2 linked regions of the Nothobranchius furzeri genome follow. The protein of the gene in region 2 binds, or shares a complex with, the protein of the main gene of each other region. Links are inferred from orthologs where the notes say so. Each region holds a gene or a part of one and is shown on either strand. Other genes may lie near its edges.

Evidence for each region. Proteins that work in one complex are often made in the same cells at the same time.
Region 1: the proteins of f7l (region 2) and f3a are in contact, whole or in part, in a crystal structure (PDB 6R2W), measured with the Homo sapiens proteins. The link is inferred for Nothobranchius furzeri from reciprocal best matches to the Homo sapiens genes F7 and F3. Residues at the interface, in NP_000122.1 of Homo sapiens: Leu73, Lys78, Phe91, Arg96, Leu99, Phe100, Ser103, Ser120, Lys122, Gln124, Leu125, Ile129, Cys130, Phe131, Cys132, Leu133, Pro134, Phe136, Glu137, Gly138, Arg139, Lys145, Gln148, Ile150, Val152, Asn153, Glu154; in NP_001984.1 of Homo sapiens: Thr49, Asn50, Lys52, Ile54, Glu56, Trp77, Lys78, Ser79, Lys80, Phe82, Tyr83, Glu88, Asp90, Asp93, Gly141, Gln142, Thr144, Glu162, Arg163, Thr164, Leu165, Arg167, Phe172, Tyr188, Trp190, Lys191, Ser192, Ser194, Ser195, Gly196.

Annotation. Positions count from the first base shown.
Region 1 is NC_091747.1:36,262,669-36,270,856, reverse strand, and holds part of f3a (coagulation factor IIIa), read right to left. Parts: intron 7,235-8,188; coding exon 7,123-7,234; intron 6,167-7,122; coding exon 5,973-6,166; intron 3,731-5,972; coding exon 3,549-3,730; intron 3,463-3,548; coding exon 3,297-3,462; intron 1-3,296. UniProt on the Homo sapiens protein: Initiates blood coagulation by forming a complex with circulating factor VII or VIIa. The [TF:VIIa] complex activates factors IX or X by specific limited proteolysis.
Region 2 is NC_091743.1:82,201,400-82,209,121, reverse strand, and holds the end of f7l (coagulation factor VII), read right to left. Parts: 5' UTR 7,597-7,722; coding exon 7,509-7,596; intron 4,554-7,508; coding exon 4,387-4,553; intron 4,307-4,386; coding exon 4,282-4,306; intron 4,207-4,281; coding exon 4,093-4,206; intron 3,911-4,092; coding exon 3,770-3,910; intron 3,278-3,769; coding exon 3,189-3,277; intron 3,105-3,188; coding exon 2,984-3,104; intron 2,898-2,983; coding exon 2,350-2,897; 3' UTR 2,277-2,349; downstream 1-2,276. UniProt on the Homo sapiens protein: Initiates the extrinsic pathway of blood coagulation. Serine protease that circulates in the blood in a zymogen form. Factor VII is converted to factor VIIa by factor Xa, factor XIIa, factor IXa, or thrombin by minor proteolysis.

The DNA of each region.
Region 1 (8,188 bases), on a different chromosome or scaffold from region 2:
TACCACCTGAAGGGGGCACTCTACACCTTCTAAACCATCAGAGGGAAATCAAGTCTTTATTTCGGACTCAGGATAATTTTTTTTTATTCAACATCCATCCGTCCACCTCCAGGACATTGAGGCATGCACAGCAGGCCCGTCTCACCCAGGACAAAGTCTCTTTGACTCGCTCCCATCTGGCAGGAGGCTCCGATCCATTCGGACCAGAACCACTCACCGCAAAAACAGTTCCTTCATGAATATCAATCATAGACCTGCCCACTCCCGCTGCTTTGCTTCCATCACCTGACTATAGCGTTGTGTTTGCACCTGAACTGAGCCGCTCTGGCCAGTACCTACACTGACTTGTATCAAGTAGCTGCTTCTCTAAATATTGCCTCCCTATATTATTATCTTTTCATTGTGTTTATTTCTTTATTCTAATTTTTCACTTATTTTTTTCTTGCATCAAGTACTGCAGCAATATCCTAATGTTGTTTCTCACACATATGGCAATTAAACCCTTCTGGCTCTGATTCATCCATTTTCAGCCGTTTATCCGGTTCGGGTCGCAGGGGCTGCAGTCTAAGCAGGGAGGCCCAGACTTTCTTCTCTCCAGCCACTTGGGCCAGCTCCTCCAGGAGAACCTCAAGGCGTTCCCTGGCCAGCCGAGACACATAGTCCCTCGAGTGTCAGATATGGAGATTTAATTTCACACACACATACACTGACAACTAATGGGACTTTAATTCTTTTGGTCACTACCCTAAGCTCGTCACCATAGGTGAGGGTTGGAACGTAGATCGCCCGGTAAATCGAGAGCTTTCCCTTCCAGCTCAGGTCTCTGTCCACCACAACAGATCGGTACAATGCACACATCACTGCAGATGCACCAGTCTGCCTACTGATGTCACGCTCCATCCTTCCGTCACTCATTGACAAGACCCAGAGATGATTAAACTCCTCCACCTATGACATATCATCCCTGACCCAGAGAAGGCATTCTACCCTTTTCTGACTCGAGACCAGGGTCTCAGATTTAGGAGCGGATTCCCATCCCAGCCATTTCAGACTCCACTGCAGACCGCTCCAGTGAGAGCAGGAGGTCATGTTCTGATGAAGCCAGCAGGACCACATCATCTGCAAAAAGCAGACACCTGATCCTTAGGCCACCAAAACGATCCCCTTAACACCTTGGCTGTGCCTGGAAATCCTGTCCATAAAAGTTATGAACAGAATCAGTGATAAAGGGCAGCCTTGGCGGAGTCCAACTCTCACAAGAAACGAGCCCGACTTACTGCCGGCAATGTCCAAGCCATGGCCAAGCTCTAGCACGGTCATACAGGGACCTAGAAGCCCGTATCAGAGGGCCTGGTACCCCATCCTCCCTACCATCCTAAGGGTAAAGAGCTGGTCCAGTGTTCCACGGCCAGGATAAAAACCACATTGTTCCTTCTGAAACCGAGGTTCAACAATCCAACGGACCCTCCTCTCCAGAACCTCTTAATAGACCTTACCAGGCTCAGGAGTTTGAGCCCCCTGTAGTTGGAACACACCCTGCAGTCCCCCTTTTAAAATAGGGGGACTACCACCCCAGTCTGCCAGTCCAGTAGAACAGCCCCTGATGTCCACGCAATACTGCAGAGCCGCGTGAGCAAACACAGCCCCACAACATCCAGAGCATTAAAGAAATCTGGGCAGATCTCATCCACCCCTGGAGCCTTGCCATGTGGGGCTTTTTGACCACCCCAGTGACCTCAGCACCAGAGATTTGAGAGGCTAACCCAAAGTCCCCAGACTCTGCTTCCTCACTGGAAGACATGCTGGTGGGATTCAGGTGGTCTTTGAAGTACTCCGCCCAATAAGACTCTTTTTTCAGCTTGACTGCATCCCCAACCATCGTTGTCCACCAGCGGGTTCGAGGATGGCCACCACGGCAGGCACCGATGACCCTGCGGCCGCAGCTCCAGTCGGCCGCCTCGACAGTGGAAGCACGGAACATGCTCCACTCAAACTCAATGTCCCCCGCCTCCTCCAAAACATTTTGAAGGTTCTGTCAGGGGTGGGAATTGAAATGTCTTTTGACAGGAGACTCTACCAGACGTTCCCAGCAGACCCTCCCAATATCTTTGGGCCTGCCAGGTCAGACCAGCATCCTCCCCCACCATCGAAGCCAACTCACCACCAAGTAGTGGTCAGTTGACAGCTCCGCCCCTCTCCTCACCCAAGTGTCCAAGACATGCGGCCGCAGATCAGATGAGACGACAACAAAGTCGATTATCGAGCTGCAGCCTGAGGTATCCTGGTGCCAAGAGCACATATGGACACCTTTGTAGATGGTGTAGATTTGGAGTCAGGAAGGACATTTTACTGACTTTCTATTATTCTTTTATAGAGAGTGTTATCACATTTTCCATCCCCTGTTGGTTTTATTCTGTCAGCCTGCAGTATAGAAGCCGTCTACAAAGCACCGTCAAGGTGTGCTCTCGGATCATTGGACTACCACTGCGAAGCTTAACTTCTCAATGTGACCAGCATACAGGAAGTTTAGCACAGAAAATCATTAAAGACCCATCACACCCTCTTCATACTGTTTTCGAGTGGCTGCCCTCCAAACGCCGACTTCGATGCCCATGCTGTAAAACACAGAGGAGGAGAAGTTCCTTTGTTCCCAGAGCTGTGCTTCTTCTTAATTCTCAGTGCAGATAGGGGGAGTGTGCATTACTTGTATGTGTGCGTGCATGTAGTTACATGTGTGTGTGTGTGTGTGTGTGTGTGTGTGTGTGTGTGAGTGAGCCAAAGTTTTAATCATTGTTGGTCATTCACATGTGAGTTTATGACATGATTGTGTATATAGGTTTTTATGGGTTTTACAAATGTGTAATTTGGATGTGTTTTTAGAATTTAGAGATTTTAGTGCCGGCTGCTTCACAATGCTGTCTCGAATTGCCCCTCGGGGACTAATAAAGTTGTCTTGAGTCTTGAGTCTAGAGTTCATAATGGACAATCCAACAACAAAACATTGTTCAAACTCAGATCAGTTAATTCTTCCATCTAGATAATTAAACAGATAACTGATTATGTTTCATTTGTCAGAACAGACAAAACAAATTGATTAAACAGAACACTTTTAAGATCTGATCATTTCTGGTTAATACTTTCAAAGTTCTTCACACTGGAACCAGGGAGATGTAGGTCACTTTCTTTAGTAGTCCGACCAAATACTGTTTACTATCTTGTTTCTCTCTGGGACACACATTGGTTTCACATCTGGACGTGTATGGAGACAGTGGGACGTGAACCTCAGGGCAGCTCACCTTTGATGATGGACTGGTTGGTGTTGTTGGAGCACACCGTCTGACTCATCTCCCCTAGCTGCTTGGCTGTCCTGCTGGGTATGGAGGCCTGGACGCTGAAGCAGTAGCCGTCCTCTGGGTCCAGACCAGTCACTTCTATATTACTGGACTTGGACTCCAACTCTTTCTGAACAACAGATCAGAAGAAAACCATTACACCAGTACAAGTCTGTCAAACGTGTCATCAGGGCAGCCGCGTTTGCTGTTACTCACTTTCCCGGAGCTCTTATTTTTCCGATATGTCACTTTGTAATAGAGCTTGTCAGAAAGGATGTCTCTGATGTTCTGCTGGCGGCCATCTTTAAAGAGAGCGGTGAGCGGGTCTGACACGTACAGCGTGACAGACTTTTTGTCTTCGTGCTCCTTTATCTGGAATTCTGGTCGGCCAATGTCGGCTTTAGAGGAGAGAGTTGATTATTTAAAGCACATACACCCCCACAAATCATCACCCTAGCATTGTGGGGGTGTTGAGTGGCACACAAATGTTGTTTGGGGCATGTCTGCCTCTGGTAGGCTATCCCATGACAGATTGGTTCTAGATGAGGTGACTACAAGAACTAAAAACCAGGAAACCTCACCAAGGACTAGGGATACCCGGGCTCACTCTGGAGTCCAGCCTGGGGTAGAGGTGCTGAGTGGGGATGGGTTTACCTGTGGCTTGTTGCCCAGCTGAAAATCTTGCTCTGCCATCATATAGGGCAGGCATTGTGCATAAGCACCAGCAACAGGTCAGAGTACCCTTCTTGGGCTTCAATACCCTCATGAGTAATACCAGTGGGACCTGGAGGGGTGTGATTGGGAAAACCGTCTCACCATATCTGGACCCTGGTGGTTTTTGTTGTCTGACTTCACGGTTCGTCCACAACAACACGTAGCACCAAGACAGTCTGGTTCGCAGGTCAGTGATTGATTATCATGTCATCAGATATGTTTAGTGTGATTTGGACACTCAGGTGAAGAGAGTAGCTGTGCTCTCAACTGATCACCTCCTGATGGTGAGCTGGATCAGGTGGAGAGGGGAGAAGCTGAACAGTGCACCCTAGCAAACAGTGAGGGTGTTCTGGGAACGTCAGGCAGAAACTTCACCTCCAGTACAGCTTTTTTCTTTCTGAGGAGCAGTGGACCTTGAATTTGATGGGACCATGTTCCAGGCCTCTACTGCTGATGCAGCTGCTTGAAATTCAGGATATAGGGTAGTTGGTGCATATCATGATGACCACTAGGGATGTGTATTGGTGAAATTCTGGCGATAGGATACATATCACAACACAGGGGAGACGATATATATATATATATATATATATATATATATATATATATATATATATATATATATATATATATATATATATCACGGAATATTGCGATACATTCAGCCAGATGACAATAACGATTTTTTAGACTGAAATTATTGTAGGAAAATTCAATAAACAGTCCAAACTGATATGCAACATGTTTAACATGAAGTATCTGAACCATAATGGAGGGATTTACATTTCAGTGGTGGAAACAAAACCCGTTGCACACTGCTGCTTCCTAGTGGCCGGCCTTTGAATTACACCAAAAGAAATTCTTCCAAAAGTCTGATACACGGCTTTTGAGTATTGATATAATATCGCAGGAAAAAATATTGTGATATATTGCCATGTCGATATTTTCTTACATCATAATGACCACCAGCGTGTTGAGCTTGATTAGCTCATGGGACTCCTGAAGCAGCTGGCAGGCCGAGCAGACCCGTGCTTGAGAGGATGCAGAAACTGAACTCCAGTGTGGAAGGAGTCTGGTGAAACTCGGGTTGTGTAACAGCTGCAATGGTGACGCATCTCTTTAAGGTAGAATAAGTTCATGTTTAGTAATGTCACAAGTGTGCACCACTCAACCACTGAGTACAACCCAAGATGGCTTCAAAGAGTTTCTGGCAAACCATCATCCAATCTCAGCCAGAGATGAGGACCCCCCCATGTTTCCAAAGCCTTTAGATGCTGATGGTGGTTGACACTTCAGGGACAGTACATTTGGGCTAGCAGACTGTGGCGGTGGTCCTTTCCTTCAAAAGAGGGAACCAGGGGTATGTACGTTCCCTCTACTCGGACACCCCGGCAAGGTCTATACCAGGGAGAGTGAGGGTGCAACAGGAGTTGCCCAGCCAGTCTTCATGTGTTTTATTGACTTAGTAAAGGCCTACGGTCCTGTCTATCAAGGTGTCCTGTGGGGATTCACGTGACCTTCTAAGGGCTTTTTGAATCCCTGACAAAGGTTGTTTTGGATGGCATCAGAATCATTTCAGTAAACGTTGGGGGTTTTGTCCTGGATTCTGTTCATAATTTCTAGGAGCAGCCAAGGAGTGACTCAAAAGGAGAGTAAAAGGTAAAACCCTTTCTGTTCCAAAGCAGAGCACATACAGTGTGTTGATTTCTATCTAGTGAACAGATGACTGGTCTTTTCTCCTCTGATCTTTCTTCTGCTGCACCAGAACAGAACGACCTGTTTCCAGGTCAGTGTTGGGAGTCTCTGTGGACGGTGTTGCTCAGGTATTTGGATTTTAACTGTGCTGCGTTTTTGTAATGTCTGTTTCCATGGTGACAGGAGATGACGATGATGTGGGAGGACACGAAGGCAGACGGAGGCACTTACTGTCTGTGGTCGGGCAGAAACGAGGTGCGCTGCTGTGTGGGAACTCTGTGAGGTCAGAGGTCACACCAAGCGGGGGTTCTGACAAGATGTCAGCTGTGTAGCAGACATCCAGGTTAGTCAGAGACATAGACAGGTCACAGGTCGTAGAGCTGGATCTGACACAGTGATGGTTTCGCTCTTTGTCCCCTCCAACCCTGTAGTGTGTGCACGCACACACACACACACACACACACACACACACACACACACACACACACACACGCACGCACACACGCACGCACGCACGCACACACACACACAGTGTGTGTGTTTAACACAGGGCAGTTCAGATGTTCTTCTCTCTAACGTATTATTTAGCTCGTTCTCAGGTCGGGTCTCTGTCTGGGACCTGGCATTCAGCTTCTCAGTGATAACAACAGTACCCATGTGAAGAAAAAACAACAACATGAAATCAGCTACATGAAAGCTCATATCTCACGTTTCTGATAGGAACACACACACATTCACACCATCCAGAAAGGTCCAGCCTGAGCCAGACGTGGTCCTGAGGGGGACAGAACTCCTGGCGGCTCTTTGAGTTGAGCCACCGCAGCTGTAACACTTTATCTGTTCGACAGCATTCAGGACTGTGTAACCTCTGACCCTTTAACTAAGTCTTTAGCGTGCTCAACTTCCTGTTTTTGCAGTTTCCTCTAAAGGTCGTACGTAGGGCAGCTCTAATGTTTCAGACCTTAAAGCTTTCTTCTTCTGTTAACAGTAACAGTCGTTCCTGGCGGGTTTTGAAACCGACTCTAAGTGATGGTTGAAGCTGGAACATTCTTGCCTCATTGCTCTAAATGTTAAAACTGGTGGCAACAAAAAAAAAAAACCCGTAATGTTTAGTCAAAACAATGAATGATCTGAATCTCCTCTGAATCGTGGAATGCTGGAAAACCTTCGACCACTCACTGTGCACGTCCCGTTCTAAACGACTGGACCGTTACACCATAACCAGTTCTGACCCGCAGTGGTCCTATTGGTCACCTGAGCTCCACCAGTCAAACGTGTCGACCAGAATATAATAATCTGAACATAACTCCAGCAGATCTGGTTTCTCTGTGTGACATTTGGGTGTTCTGCTGGTTAAACTGGGCAAACTGGTGATACTCACACTGAGAACTCCACTGTGTACGAGTAATCAGCTGACGGTTTGGGTTCCCAGGTCAGAACCGTCTTGAAGTTGGTGGACTTCCACGAGATGTTCTGGGCTCGAGGAAACATGGCTGCAACACAGAAGGTGTTTGGTTCAGTTCCACAGAGGTGGTTCAAGTCAAAGGTTAAAGGTCAGATGTGACCATGGTACATCAACAGCCTCCAGAAGAAACTGGTTCTTTACTCTGAAGTTATGGAAGCATTTTACTGATTTTTTTTGTTGTTGTTGTTTAAACTGTAAAATTCAGAGATGCAGACAAAAGTTCAGGAGAGATCTGAGAATCAGCCTCGGGGCTGAGAACCTGGAGCTCAACTATGTCCTCAGATAAAGGTTCTGCCTTGGCTTTGGAGTCGTCTGATCTTATTTACTCCACTAGAGTTTCTCCAACAGGTAAAAGCAGAGGATTAAACCAGATACTTCCTGAACCTCGCCCTCCAGTGATCCATAATCCATCTGTGGGATGAAACTGAACAGACTCGTGCATGTTAGGAGTTGTAGGACCTTAAAGCTCTCATTCACTCAATAGTTCAATAAATCTGCTGCAGTGGAATGAATGAATGCCTTGTGAGGCATTCTCTGTGGAAAAAAAGCTCTGGCGCTGCAGTTTTCCACTAAACATCTCATAATCTGATGGAGACCTGAACTTTAGAGAATCCCTCTAACAGCAGGTCAGCCAGCGGCTGTTTTAGTCCCTTTATTTAAAAATAGTAAACAAAAGAAACTTTAAATATAGCTGTCTAAACAAAAGGTTGTAAATTATTCACTTGCATTAATATTATTATGATTAGTAGTGGTAGTATTTACTTAATAATAATAATAATAATAATAATAATAACTTACCTCTTAATTCCCTGCATAAATAAAAATATTAAAAATATTTTCATTATTAAATTCAGTGTAAAGTTTGATCGTTTGATTCTAATGGTGGACGATAAACAGTTCATGAAAAGTAATATAGGAAACTTTCCCAAAACTCTGGAGGTTTAAGAGCTGCTGAATAGTCTATAAACCACCCAGCCTGTCT
Region 2 (7,722 bases):
TCCAGTTTCTCCTTCCATCAAACACCTTACAGGAAACATCAAACAAGTTTTCTTCTTCTGGAGTTCATTTTAAGTCAGAAGTTGGAGAACCACCACAATAGAGTGAGACAATCATCAGAGAGACATTTCAAGTAACAAAAAAGTGTTTCTTACTGGAATACGTCTTCCAGAACTCGTTCTGAGGAAAAGAAAAGAGCAGAACATCAGTGGAAGTACCAGCAGCACCTGCTGGGTTCTGTCAGTTTTCTGGACTCAGACTTCTAGATTCAGAGTTCATCTGGAACATCACTAACCGCCGTCTCTGTATGCTCAAACACCTCTCTGGCCTCCTCAAAGCTGCACTTCTCCTCCAAACACTCCCTCTCCAGATCTCCCGTTTTCAGCTCCTCAAACCAGCCGGAGTTGTACCTCCGAGTCCGGATCAGAACACCATGGGCCTGGTCTGGACCCAGAAAGACTGAGGAACACAGAACAAGTAAAGAATTGACCAGGATTGTAGTCATCAAGATATTTTTTAATAAATTCACTTAAAGAATCTGTTAATTGATAGTTGTGATTGTTTACAGCAGTTCTCTAGAGATCAGGGGGAGTTTTATGGGATGTTTAGCCAAGAACACCAACTATTAAACACCAGAAAGTTTTTTTTTTTGGATCCATCAGAAAAGAAATCAGGTGGACACAAGCTAGTTAACACTTAAACCATTCATTCCTTTAAACCACAAACTTTAATCTAAACCAGGAGTAGAATCCTGGTAAATGGTGATGTCACTTCCTGTTTTCAAGCAAGTCATTTAAATTCTGCTGTTTGTTTCATCTTTGGTGTATTGGTCAGTTTTTTGCTTCACTCATTTAATTATTACAAGTAATCCAGTTTTCAGTGTTTTTGTGTAAAACCAAGAACTCCTCGTTTTCTTGGCTTTTGCTGTTTAAAACCCAAAGATCGTTGAACTTAAGAGGCAAGTAAAAGTCAGAGTGGATGTTATCATTTGTTTGCATAACCTTCATTATCTAGCTGACAGCGCTGTTGCTATTAAAGACTAAACACGTCTTCTCTGATCAGAAGAACATACAATTCTCTCACCTGAAACTGAGCAGCAGCTCTGAAGGCTGAAGACCAACATGATGAAGACTCTCAGCCACATGCTTGACTTTGTCACAGGACTGCCGTCCTTTGCCTCCGTGGACATGAAGGTACAAAGTGCCCCCCCCCCCCCCACCCCCCAATTGCTGGTGACCATGGAAACACCTGAGTAGTGAAATGCAAGGGGATCGATGTTCAGATCACGTTTCAGTCCTGTAAACATCTGTCCGGGTCAATGGTCAAAGTTCCTCCAGTCACCAGTCTTACTCTCAGTGATGGAACATTTTAACCCTAGAATCATGCTATTTTACCACTGAAAGAATGTATGCGTTAATCAACTTAGAATAAAAACAAAGATGTTTAATTGGTAAAGAAAACCTCCAAAGAGTCAGTCTGTTGTTTTCATGTTGAAATTACTGACCAATTAAATAATAGATCAAATAATTTGTGAATCTAAATTATTGACATAAAAGATAAATCAAACTAAAACTTTAAGTTATTAATGAGCCCTGATATAAAGATTTGCCTGCTTTCTAATTAGTCTTGTGGTTATGATGGATATTTTACTGTCAAACATGTCACGAGTTGGGCAGGAGGAAGTTTAGGACCAAAGATGCAGAGAACCAGATGAACAAGGCAGGAAGTGGATGATGAAAATAAAATCCTTTATTTAGGAGTAATCCAAGAAGGCAGGGAGCCAAAAAAAACGAGAATCAAAAATCCAAATATCTAAACCGAGAGATGCTAAAACCATGGGAGCACAGGACCTGGAGGGGATACGGGGGGGGGGGGGGGGGGGGGGGACCCTAGAGGGGCTGCAGATCTGGGGACACATGAGGAACACAAGGAGACACATGAGGGAGACGTAGACAAGGACACATGAGGGCGCTGGGAGACACAAAGGGAGAACCTAGAGACGGATGAAGAACACAAGGAGACACATGAGGGAAGACGCAGACGCAGACAAAACAAAGCATTTTGTTCAATGAGGTCCCGCCCCCTCCCTCTCTGCTGTGCTTCAGCTCTTCCTTCAAAGCTCCTCCCACTCTTGTGTGTGTGAGTCCTGCTTGTGATTGGTTGTTCTCGTGTTTCATTGCTTGATGTGAGCTAAGATTTAGCCAACAGATACTAATGATGGTTATTAGCATAGGATCTAAACTGTTATGCAGAAGGAACAAAAAGTTCAGACTCAGAATAAATCAGCAGCAGTTTATTCAAACTTTCTCCACACTTTAAACTGTGACTTCTCACCACTGGTCTGACCCAGATTAACCAGTAGCCATAATTTTGTCGATCCAGTCCAGAAAGTTGCTGACTTTGGTGTAAATGCCGTACATATTTTCTTTAGCGCAGCCCATTCCCCAGCTCACCACGCCCGTTAGGAACCAGGTCTTCTTGTAGCGTGTTACCAGTGGGCCACCGCTGTCACCTTCACATGCGTCCTGGCCACCACGCCTTCGTCCTGCACACATCATGTTCTTGGTGATGTTGAGCTGCGTGTGGAGGCGACACTCCTGCGGGTGGACCTTTGGCACCACCAAACGCTGCAGGAATCGAGCAGAAGAACCAAACTCTAACAGGCGGCCCCACCCAGACACCGTGGAAAGGCGGACTAAAGACAGAGTCCGAGTGAAGGTGCTGTTGCGAGCAGGGAGGCAGATGGGCACCACGTAGCGCCCCAGTTTGATCGGGCGGTGCAGCTTGAGCAGAGCCAGGTCACTGTCGTAGGTGGAGTGACTGTAGTTTTGATGGATCACCACCTCAAGAACTCGCCGTTGCTGTTCAGTCTTCTCAGGCTCCTGTCGGTCATGTTTGCCTTCACACAAACACAGTTGGAGACAAAGACTGAGCCTGACTAAAAAAAGAGAAAAAAAAAGATAAGTAGTCCAACTTCAACCTTACCAACGGTGACGTGGAAGATGGCGACAGGCTTCGACCAAACGCAGTGAGCTGCTGTTAAAATCCACACTTCTGACAGGACAATGGCACCACATGTGAACTTGTTGTTTTCACTTAACATAGCCTGAAGAGACAGCAGAGACCAGGAAGGTCAAGTGGTCTGGGTCCAGCTGAAGAGCACCTGATGTGACTGGAGGGTAAAACGTACCTGCCATGGACACTGTCCTTTAGGACACATCTGACCATTGACAATCCTCGGGGTAAAATGTACCAATGGTCTTCCACAGACAACGGCCTCTAGACCACACCCACAACAGAACCGGTCAGCATGCTGCCTCTTATGCTAAATATCCAACAAGCTCTGAAAAAAACTCCCAAACAAGCTTGAAACCACAACCAGAAGAAGATACTCAACATGGACATTTGTTTTCAAAAGACACTCTGAAAGACCCTGAGAAGAAACCCCTTTCATACCAGTACTAGCTCTGGTTGTTGCCACACTCCAGTTTCAAGTCTTGTGGTTTCGAACTTTCCCCCTTTAGGGTTTATGTAGCAGGAACACATGGTCAACCTGGAGGAGATCCTCCCAGAGAAGTCCAACCAGGAATTCTGGGTAGATTCTGAAGTAACACCTAAATGAGCTTTGACCACTAGATTACTGGCTGAAAACACCAGTTTGGTTCCAACTAAATGTATGAATGTAAAGAAAACTGTCATCTGGTTAGGAATAAATGAAGGTGAGCTGCTCTGTTGTCACCAGATCCAGTTAACCTGTTAACCAGTTCAGACCTTTAGGCAGGCATGTGTTGTTGTCCTCATCCAGACCATATCCTGAAGCACAGAAACAGGAAGGAGATTGATCCGGGGGCTGTCTGCAGAAATGCTCACATCCTCCATTTCTGTAGCGACAGCTGTTTGGGGTTGAGCGGACTGCGAATGACAAGAGACAACGTGAAGAAACCCGAGACAACGTGAAGAAAGACCGAATGGAGACAACCTGAAGAAACAAGACAACATAAAACAAGACCAACAGGAATAGACAACATGATGAAACCAGAGGCAACATGAAGGAGGACCAGGAGAAGCATCTGACCTGTAGCTGCTGTTCCTACCTTTGTCACAGTTGAATCCGTGGAAGCCTGGTGAACATTTGCAGATGTAGCTGTCGATGTGACGAGTGCAGGTTGCTCCATTCTTACAGGGAGATGATGAGCAGTGGTCTACAGCTTGAAACAGGAAATGAAAAAGTCAACAAAAAGCAACGTTACCTTACATATGATCAATGCTGGAGTCTTCTCTACCTGTGTATGTCCTCCAGAAGTTCTCCTGGAAACAGAAAACACAATAAAAACAGAGAAGATTGTGTAACTAAAATGATTAAAATGATGGGTTTGACTATGAATTACCAGCTGCTGAGGTGTGGCAAAGATCTCCCTGGCTTCCTCATAGGAACATTTCTCTTCCAAACATTCTCTCTCCAGGTTTCCTAATTTCACCTCCTCCAGTAAGAAGTTTGCACGACGAGTACGATGCAGGAAAATGTTGGCCTCACGTTGGTCCAGAAGCATTCCTCCTTTATCGAAAAATAGAAGAGATTAACTAAAAGCACACCATAAGCAAAAGGTCTTCATGTCCGCTGGAATTAGATGAAAAAACTTTGGTACAAACCTGAGGGCAGAACTCATCAGAATATTTCTAAAATGTTACTAAAACCCAAATCTTACTTCAGCAAGGAAATTAATATGAGGAGGAAGATCTACAGATCTCCAAGTCTGAGAAATATGATTAATAAATATTATGGTCTCACCACCAGCACCAAAGACAAAGGTTTTGCTTCCAAACCTGGATCCTTCTCTCAATCTTCCCAAATCCTTCTCATATCCAGACATCTCATATCCAGACCATCTCATATTCAGACATCTCATATCCAGACATTTCATATCCAGACATCTCATATTCAGACATTTCATATCCAGACATCTCATATTCAGACATCTCAGACATCTCATATTCAGACATTTCATATCCAGACATCTCATATTCAGACATTTCATATCCAGACATCTCATATCCAAACCATCTCATATCCAAACAATCTCATATCCAAACCATCTCATATCCAAACAATCTCATATCCAAACCATCTCATATCCAGACCATCTCATATTCAGACATCTCATATCCAGACATCTCATATTCAGACATCTCAGACATCTCATATTCAGACATTTCATATCCAGACATCTCATATTCAGACATTTCATATCCAGACATCTCATATTCAGACATTTCATATCCAGACATCTCATATCCAAACCATCTCATATCCAAACAATCTCATATCCAAACCATCTCATATCCAAACCATCTCATATCCAGACATCTCATATCCAAACAATCTCATATCCAAACCATCTCATATCTAGACCATCTCATATCCAGACATCTCATATCCAAACCATCTCATATCCAAACCATCTCATATCCAGACATCTCAAATCCAAACCATCTCATATCCAGACATCTCATATCCAGACATCTCAAATCCAAACCATCTCATATCCAGACCATCTCATATCCAAACCATCTCATATCCAGACATCTCATATTCAGACATTTCATATCCAGACATCTCATATTCAGATATTTCATATCCAGACATCTCATATCCAAACCATCTCATATCCAAACAATCTCATATCCAAACCATCTCATATCTAGACCATCTCATATCCAGACATCTCATATCCAAACAATCTCATATCCAAACCATCTCATATCTAGACCATCTCATATCCAGACATCTCATATCCAAACCATCTCATATCCAAACCATCTCATATCCAGACATCTCAAATCCAAACCATCTCATATCCAGACATTTCATATCCAGACATCTCAAATCCAAACCATCTCATATCCAGACCATCTCATATCCAAACCATCTCATATCCAGACATCTCATATCCAGACATCTCATATCCAGACCATCTCATATCCAGACATCTCATATCCAGACATCTCATATCCAGACCATCGCATATCCAGACCATCTCATATCCAGACATCTCATATCCAGACATCTCATATCCAGACCATCTCATATCCAGACATCTCATATCCAGACATCTCATATCCAGACCATCTCATATCCAGACATCTCATATCCAGACATCTCATATCCAGACATCTCATATCCAGACATCTCATATCCAAACCATCTCATATCCAGACATCTCATATCCAAACCATCTCATATCCAGACATCTCATATCCAGACATCTCATATCCAAACCATCTCATATCCAAACCATCTCATATCCAGACCTCTCATATCCAAACCATCTCATATCCAAACCATCTCATATCCAGACATCTCATATCCAAACCATCTCATATCCAAACCATCTCATATCCAAACCATCTCATATCTAGACATCTCATATCCAAACCATCTCATATCCAAACCATCTCATATCCAGACATCTCATGTCCAAACCATCTCATATCCAAACCATCTCATATCCAGACATCTCATATCCAGACATCTCATATCCAAACCATCTCATATCCAGACCATCTCATATCCAGACATCTCATATCCAAACCATCTCATATCCAAACCATCTAATATCCAGACATCTCATATCCAGACATCTCATATCCAAACCATCTCATATCCAAACCATCTCATATCCAGACATCTCATATCCAAACCATCTCATATCCAGACCATCTCATATCCAGACATCTCATATCCAAACCATCTCATATCCAGACATCTCATATCCAAACCATCTCATATCCAGACATCTCATATCCAAACCATCTCATATCCAGACATCTCATATCCAAACCATCTCATATCCAGACATCTCATATCCAAACCATCTCATATCCAGACATCTCATATCCAAACCATCTCATATCCAGACATCTCATATCCAAACCATCTCATATCCAGACATCTCATATCCAAACCATCTCATATCCAGACCATCTCATATCCAAACCATCTCATATCCAGACATCTCATATCCAGACATCTCACATCCAAACCATCTCATATCCAGACCATCTCATATCCAGACATCTCATATCCAAACCATCTCATATCCAGACATCTCATATCCAGACCATCTCATATCCAAACCATCTCATATCCAGACATCTCATATCCAGACCCTTTCATATCCAGACCATCTCATATCCAGACCAGCTCATATCTAAATAAAAATGTTCTCTATAACGTAATTTTTAAAAATCTTATTAAAATTAACTTTTACAGATTTTTTAAACATATTAACACCAATCCTGATTTTATAATATATTATATTTAATACAATTTCATAAAGTCCTGCTCACTAAAATCAGTTAGAGAAATAAATATTATAGAACAAACTAATAAAACAGGAAAAGTTTAAGCCATCAGATTGTGTAATCTGCTTGTGGTCTGCACTCCTCTGATGGAGTCCTGATGGGAACGGATCCCTGAGGTGAAGAAGAAGAGTTGAAGGAACAAACTGACCTCCTTGAGTCCCAGTGCATGATGGGAGAGAAGCAGTGATGAGCAGTAGGAAGAAGACACGACTCGTCTTTTTGCTGATGAACGCCATGATTGTTGTGGCCCGACCAAAGGTCACGTAGTGAAAAACAAACACACAAAAACACTTGCATTCTCCACACGTTTGACTTCCTGTTTCAGGTTAAAAGACACTCGTTTATTTGTGTTCAACAATTCT